Linked DNA regions of Danio rerio. The protein of the gene in region 2 interacts with the protein of the main gene of each other region in a pairwise test. Links are inferred from orthologs where the notes say so. Each region holds a gene or a part of one and is shown on either strand. Other genes may lie near its edges. The genes, in order: ptpn9a and rtn3.

Region 1 (4,564 bases), on a different chromosome or scaffold from region 2:
CATTAAAAAGACTCATAATCTGAACGCAACTGCATTACTTAAATTTTATGTAAAAAAACAGGCATTCTCAGACCTCCATAACAGTGATGAGTAAATTAAAGACGATTAAGGTTGTCAGTCTTAAGTTAAAATATGTACATTGAGAGTTTATAGGCAGGGTACGAATTACAGTATTAATTAATGCTTAATGCAAGATCAGCCCTGAATGTCAACAGCCTTTCAATAGTGAGAAATTGTTTTCATATCTCTAAATATCTGTATCTTAAATAATTAAATTATTAATTAATATAATAGACAATATAAATATACATTTGACCACCCCTATAACGGTTCAAACCATTATGAATGCATAATCACACCAAATCATTTTAAGTGAGAACAAATTCGCTCAACAGTCTGAAAGTGGCAGATCTAAAGCCCTGATAGACACCATATGTGTTCACAAGACACTTTTCTTGTAAAATACGAGCTTTTATTTACATATAGCCTGAAAGTAAAGTCAAATTAGGCGCATAGTTTGACCTACAGTAACCTCTAAAATAGCTGATCAGAGGTTACTGTAGGTCAGAGTACACTAATTCCCTCAAAACACTAAAAACTTAAATATTCATTCATTCATTTTCTTTTCAGCTTAGTCCCTTTATTAATCCGGGGTCGCCACAACAAAATGAACCGCCTAAAACTTGAATAATTTATTAATAAATCTGATGTAATTTTAAAAATACAAAGATTTATTGCAATAAAATATGTATTACACAAGCTAACATTATCGAAAATGTTTCATAAAAAGTTGAAGTTAAGAATAGTTTCAATTCAGGATTGAAATAGCTATTGAAATGCAAGTTTTAGGCTCTTACTTTTGCTCTCAATGCTGACTTTATTAGTCCTGACTTAATTTATCACCATTCAGACTTTGTTTCTTGCAGTTCTGTGTGTATATGTGTCCCAATTCCAAGTTCATATCTTGCACTTCTGAGTTTGCATCTCACAACTCGAACTTGATTTCTCAGAAACCCTGGATTTATTTGTAACAATCCTGAGTCTGCATCTGGTAGACCGCAAATCAGACTTTTTATGTCGAACCTTCAAGATACACAGTTCTGAGAAAGTCACAAGCCACAGTTCTGAGAGAAATGCCAAAGTTGCAATAGATGTTTGCTCACAAATGCAAATCTACATTTATATCTTTGAATCATAAGGGCCAGACGGAATCTGCGGACATTTTTTGCTATCTCTGCGCAGAATTTTGGTAAAGATCTGCGGATTTATGATGAATGATTTTGAGAGTATAACTAAAACCTTAATATATGAATACATTTTTAACTTTTATTTAATGTTTACAATGCAGTTCCAATTAGATCCTCTTTATTTGGTGAACAAAACAATTCTTTCATATAATATCTCTACTAAAAGACAGAACATATTACTTTACACACTGTATTGTAAACAAATTATTTGAATATTTTCATTTTAGTCAATAAAATTACTGAAACTAATTTAAAAACTGAATAAATATAAGTTTACACACATTTACACAAGTGAATGAACAGAATCAATTATGGGATAAAAATCTGTGCGCGCAGATTTATTTTATTTTTCAAAGTATGCATATTTCAAAATGTATTTCAATATGCTTAAATTACTGACAACACTATTTACATTCAGGATTATTGAAATCTTTGTTGTTAAATATGTTATAATTATTAAAGAGATAGTCCACCCAAAAATGAAAATGTCCTCATCATTTACTCATACTCAAGTGATTCTGTCAAACACAAAAGAAGATATTCTGATGAATGTTGGAAGAAACTATGAAAAATTTTGGAACAAGTGGAGGATGAGTAAAGCATAACAGTTTTCCTTTTTTGGCGAACTGTCAACCAACTTTTATTTAATAGTGTAAAATAAAAAGGATAGTACACCTAAAAATTACAATTCTGTCATCATTTACTCAACCATTTTTGTTAAAATATAAAAGAAGATATTCTGAAGAAAGCTGGAAACCTGTAACCATTAACTTCCATTGTATTTGTTTTTCAGCCAAGACCGTTAATAATTAGAGGTTATCAACTTTCTTCAAAATATCTCCTTTTGAGTTCAACAGAATCAAGTATCTCAAAAAGACTTGACACCACTTGAGGGACAGTAAATAGCCACTACATTTACATTTTTAGGACAATTATATGGAATCAAATATGACCCACAGGCTAAAATTCTACCTTTTACTCTGTTTACCGTGGTAAAACCCAAACAGGGTGTCTCTAGTCAAATGGTCAGTCCCGGGTTGCTTAGCAACAGAACCGCTGGACCAGAGAATCAATGTGAACCGGATTGTGATGGTATTTGATACCTGCTCCTCCTCAGCGCTCAGGCGGTCGGCCATCATCCACTCTCCGGCGCTCTGCACCGCTGGAGGACCTTCCTGGAGCTCGGACAGCTGTTCAACCGGACTGCAGAGATCACACCGGGCTCTTTTAGGCCCGTTAGCAGTGTTCAGGCTAACAACAGAAGCAGGACTCGCGCCGTTTTTCAGCTCGACAGAGAGCGCGCGCGGCCGCCACTTCAGCACGGCACGAGCGGCGCGTTCATGATTCGCTCCGGGTTTTTACAGTCTATGATATATTGTATTTACACACATAAACACTAATGGCTTTCCAGCGGAGCTTCGGTCCGTCCGCCTGCGTGACGAAGGGAGAATTTCATCACGGTGCTCTGTTGAATCTCGTCGAAGGCTTGTTAGATTGTTTGGAGATGTGTAATAATCTTAAACGACCAGTTCCGCGTCATTCGGCCGCCGATTAAAGAAGTGATAACGTGAGAACGCGAATGAAGATCGGACGCTCCTGAAAAGAAGCAGTGAAAGATGAAAGATGACGCTCCCCCTGTTGGACAAAATGGAGAACTGCAGGCTGAACCACGCTCCTCCTCTCCATTCATAAAAACCTCTGGAGGCCGAGTCAATGCAGTGTATCGGTTCGTTTGAACGGCACTTTTAAGTAACTTGTTTACTAGTTAAAGGCGTTCCTAGTTCGCAGTTCCTATGCGGCAAGTTATGTCATTTTTATGATCACTTCTCATCCATATACTGTCGTATTAGCTGTAATGAGTGTATAAATCAAACGATTCCTTGTTATGATTCCAAGTGAGCCGAGTGATTTGTGAATCGCAGAAATATTACAGGAATGATTCATTCGAGACTCGAACGTCATTCACACAAATGAACACATTTACTTAGTTATGTAAATTACTTTAATATTTTCTAGGTTCATATCTAGTGTGTGTGATTACAGACAAACTAGCGCATAAGTTTACTTTACTATATTCAATTTAATTAATTGGAGTCTAATTACATTTCGTTCATACTTTAAATAAATAATATTGTGATTTACTTGTTTGATAATTGGTCAAAAATATCAAAAATCCTAATTTGTTGCGATTTAAAATAAAAGTACACTAGCCAAATACTGATTTATTTACTCATAAGATGTTAAACTTTGGTATTGTTTCGAGGGGTCTGGATGCAGTCCTGGTGCAGTGCAATCTGAGCTGCATCCAATGCTTTTTAATGGGCTTACCTAACCCCACCCCTAACCCTACCCATCACAGTGGAATCCCTCACTCCATTTGAGTGCATTGTGTCTGACATTGCATCGCTAAGTGATGCAATCTCAGCTTGCATCATAAAGGCTGCATCCAGATATAATTGATTGTTTCTCTAAAAATTAATCTAACATTGTCTAAAACTTTTTTATTTTATCTTATGCTAAACAAAATGTAATATTTATTTTATATTTGGAAGAAAATTAATTAGTAGTTTTACAGAACCTCTTAAGTATCTATATTTAATGTCAGTTCTGTTAAATGAAAGTTTCCATCTAGCATTTATGTTTAAGGCGAATTAAAGTCTCAGTGAGCTGACGCAAGAAAACATGCCAAGAAACCGAGCCGATAAAAACAAAGAGCTTCCTGTGGGCGTGTTTCCGGAATGACTGACAGGAGATCGTGATGACATCATGCTGGAAAAGCGCTCACAAGTGCTTTCGCTTTCACTCATAGCCTTAATCTACACATAAAAAGCATGTCGTGCGAATAGCCTCGGCTGCTGACGTTTTTTATTGGTTGACAGGCTTTACTCGGTGCTTTTAGAGCCGAGCTGCTCATGAGGGGATCCGGGAAGGCTGATCTGGGTTGACAGGTGCCGTGGGTTCCTGGAAAGCAGAGACTGACTAATAACCAAACTCTCCGATTACGCTTTGGTTTTTCTGTGAGGAAACGACCTTGTGGTTTCAGATCAACAATAGCTCCATCACTGTGACCTCTTGCACAGTTTGTCTTGCTAAAAAAAAACGTGGTGTTTTGACATTCAGGCTGAGGAGATTTTGATGAGGCCAGCATTTCATATGTAAAGCACAACTCGGTTCTAGAAACTAAACATCATTTAGATCAACACACAATCACACGTTGGGGTACATTGGTTTCATATTCGCATAATCGTTGAGTGAGAACTTCTGACACACTCTATATTGTTTACCATGGTACTTACGGTCTGAAATCTTTGAAAGCC
Region 2 (3,828 bases):
ACTATGGTGAAAAAATAAAGTTAAATGTACTTCTCACTCAGTTTTCAATTTGTATATTGATTATTTGTAGCACAACCTTATTATTATGATTACTAATACTACGACGACTACTACTATAACGACGACTTGGACAACTACTATGACGGTGACTATGACGACTACTACGACTATGACAACAATTATGGCGACTACTACAACGACTTTTACTATAACGACTACTACTACTATGACGACTTAGACTATGATGAATACTACTACGACTATTATGACTACTACTATGACAACTACTACCATGACAACTACGATGATGACTAGGGCGACTACTACAATGACGACTAGGACTATGATGACAACTGCTACGACTGTGACGATGATTACTACAACAACTATGCTGACTACTATTATCACAACTACTACTACGACGACTAGTATGACGACTATGGTGACTACTACTGTAATGACTAGGACTATGACAACAACTGCTACGACTATGACGACTACTACTACGACTACTATAATGACTATGACGACCACAACTATGAAGATTACTACTACTACTACTATGATGACTACTATGACTATGATGACTACTACAACTATGACCACTACTACGACTATTATGACTACAATGTCGAAGACTACTATGACAACGATGACGACTACAACTATAACGACTACTACTACGGCTGATTATTACGACTACTATTACGACAATTACTATGACAACCACTACTGCTACGAGTACAACAACTAATACTACTTAGTTGAAATACAGCTAATAATATTATTAATAATAATAATATAAAAAATAACAAAGCAGTATGCAAAAATATGCACAAAAAAGCAAATGCCTTGGTACTTCAAATTTCAAGTAAGTATTATCACCAACACCATTAGTACAGTGTTTCTGCAGGTTTCACCAAGACAAATTAAAGCATTTAAGACCTTTTCAAGTCCATTATAAATGAAATTTTAGAAAAAGAGAGGTTTTTTTCTAATGGCTAGTGGAAAATATTTTCACTTACATAATTATATATTTTTTACTTAATATGTGTTTGCATTAAAATGTAAAAACATATTTTCCAAACACATTCACAAATGTTCTTGTAAGAAAGATAATTAAACCAAATGGCTAAATTGTTGATAGTAACGATTGTGTAGCTTTAAATAGACAAAGGAAAATTAAGACTCGTTTACAATACTATTTCAGGGAATTTAAGCCATTAAGACACCGCGGACACCCTGTAGTAGTAGTCATATTAGTCACATTTTGCGCTACGCCACTGCTGACATATATACAGTATATGTGTAATCTATGTATATAAATAGTTCATATTTATAGCATATGTATAGTACATGTATAATTAGATTACCGCTCTGGTATGTTAGTTATGTATAGGTTTAAAAATAACTCTTCCAGTGTTGTGCTTATATTTATGATTATGTTTATGTTTATTTATATAGCACCGTGGTCCCCTGAGACACAACATTTCATTCCATTTTTATGTCCACATGTAGAGGAATGACAATAAAACTTGACCGGACTGACCCCAAACTTCATCCTGAATTATTTATATTTTTATTTTCAATAATAATAAATTGTTATTTATTTAATTTTCAATCTCTTATCTGCCCTTCACCCCAACCCGAACAAAAAATGGTGCAGAGTTTCAGAAACAAACATATATCTGACCTTGTTTTTCTCATAGATGGGCGGTACACTGAAGAGCAGGATGTCGGCTGAAAAACAAAAAGGAAACACCCAGTGTGAGGCAATTATTATCCTTCTTTATTATTCGGAAGTGCAATCTTACTAACTTAAACCCAAACGTGAAAGCCTACCGAGGATGAGGATGGTGATGCCATTGAAAACAGCACCAACATACGTCAGCAGCCACATAACAACTGCCAGCTGAAAGCAGATGAAAACATGAGTCAACTGAACAGAAATCCTCTCCTTTTCACACAAAAACCTACACTGTAATATAACAGATTTGGAATAACCTAAATCCTCAGAGTTCTTCCTATAAATCTGACCTTGAGGGAATCCACCAGATCCTCGACCAGGAAGAGGCGGCTCATCTGCTTGAGCGCGCGGTTGACATGGCTCAGACACCCATCCACGTGCTTGCGGAAAGTCTCGGGTGGCACTGTGACATCTTTGTCCATCAGAGCCCTGTTACAGGAACACGGGTCAAAGACAATTAGCTCTGACAGTGCATTCACACACATACACACACCTCTGAACACCACTGCACTCAACATCTACCATTATTAACACAGAACAGCGCATCACACACCACACAGATGCTTAAGATAAAACATAATTTATTTCTGTTTAGTGTTTGGTCTTAATAAACATAGACAAACGCAGACCAAGCATAAGCATGTTAATATATATAAAATATTGTATGCATACACATTTATTATTTTAATGTAATGCAATATGTATGAAGGCCGAATAAAATTAAGTAGTTAAGACTTTATAAAAGGGTATCTGCAGATTTCTGAGAGTTATGTTTATGATTAAGACATCTTTAATATGACAGAATGATATTTCACACTAATTTTATATACCAAAATTTGCACAAAAAAAAAAGCCTGCAACACAACTTATGACAACCTTTAACTCTGTTAATTACACATGTAACGTGTAAAAACCTCAAAACAATATTATTAATAGTAATTTTAAAAATCATAATAAAATTTTATATCAGTTCCCAAAAACTGCATTAACACAATTTTCCAATGTCAATAATGTATGCCTATTATTAAATGAAACATAACAATATTTTATATGTATAGATTTTTATTATTTATTATTTCAAAATTAAATTGTTTGATCTTGTAAACGATTAAGAATGATGTTTACCATAATTTAATCACAAGCAATCATTTTAAAAATAGCTTGAAATAATAATAATAATAATAATAATAATAATAAAAGAGTTTAATATGGCTTAAATTACATTTTCATCAAAAGATGCTTCTCCAGTTCTTCATTTGTTAATGTTTGGGGTTGACGCAGATGTTATAATCCAGGGGTCACCAAACTTGTTCCTGGAGGGCCGGTGTCCTGCAGATTTTAGCTCCAACCCTAATCAAACACACCTGAACAAGCTAATCAAGGTCTTACTAGATATACTTAAAACACCCAGGCAGGTGTATTGAGGCAAGTTAGAGCTAAAACCTGCAGGGACACCGGCCTTCCTGGACCGAGATTGGTGACCCCTGTTAAAAGCTATTATAAAGTGAAATCCCCAAGAACTCTGTTTACACAAGCAAAATCCCAGCAAACATTAAATACACAAGCGTAGTCCCTATATGCGTGTTTTTTTTTTTTTTTGGGGTACCACATGGAATTTGGTTCTGCCCATGTGATGATAGACGTAGAGATTAAAGTAGATTTCAAAACGGAAATAAAATCTTCTCTACAGGGTTGGTTCGACTGCATTAAGACCTTTGAAACACGGATCTTATTTTTATATTATGGAATTTGAGAAATTTTATAGATCCATGAACACCCTCTACATGGGGTCCAATTCATTACTATTAGCCTGACATTAGTTAGCAATAGCTAACAAGAACCAACAACAACCAAAACTTGTAACCGCATTTAAATGTTAGTTAATTAATTAAAATACTATTTTTCTTTATGTCAGTTCACAGTAGGGGTGGGTCGATAGATGATGCTATTGTCCATCGCTGATGGCCAATAGACATCACGATGCTAAGCCTGCATCGCAATCCTCCACCTCACCCCCGTCACAGCAGCAAACCACAAGTGACAACACACACTTAAGACGCCGTTTACACTAATACGTCTTT

Evidence for each region.
Region 1: the proteins of rtn3 (region 2) and ptpn9a interact in binary tests that used the Homo sapiens proteins (3 or more experiments, as listed by UniProt). The two-hybrid records come from large-scale screens. The link is inferred for Danio rerio from reciprocal best matches to the Homo sapiens genes RTN3 and PTPN9.

Annotation. Positions count from the first base shown.
Region 1 is NC_133200.1:7,155,267-7,159,830, forward strand, and holds the start of ptpn9a (tyrosine-protein phosphatase non-receptor type 9), read right to left. Parts: upstream 2,885-4,564; 5' UTR 2,387-2,884; coding exon 2,351-2,386; intron 1-2,350. UniProt on the Homo sapiens protein: Protein-tyrosine phosphatase that could participate in the transfer of hydrophobic ligands or in functions of the Golgi apparatus.
Region 2 is NC_133182.1:17,715,995-17,719,822, reverse strand, and holds part of rtn3 (reticulon-3), read right to left. Parts: intron 2,177-3,828; coding exon 2,038-2,176; intron 1,913-2,037; coding exon 1,843-1,912; intron 1,741-1,842; coding exon 1,694-1,740; intron 1-1,693. UniProt on the Homo sapiens protein: May be involved in membrane trafficking in the early secretory pathway. Inhibits BACE1 activity and amyloid precursor protein processing. May induce caspase-8 cascade and apoptosis.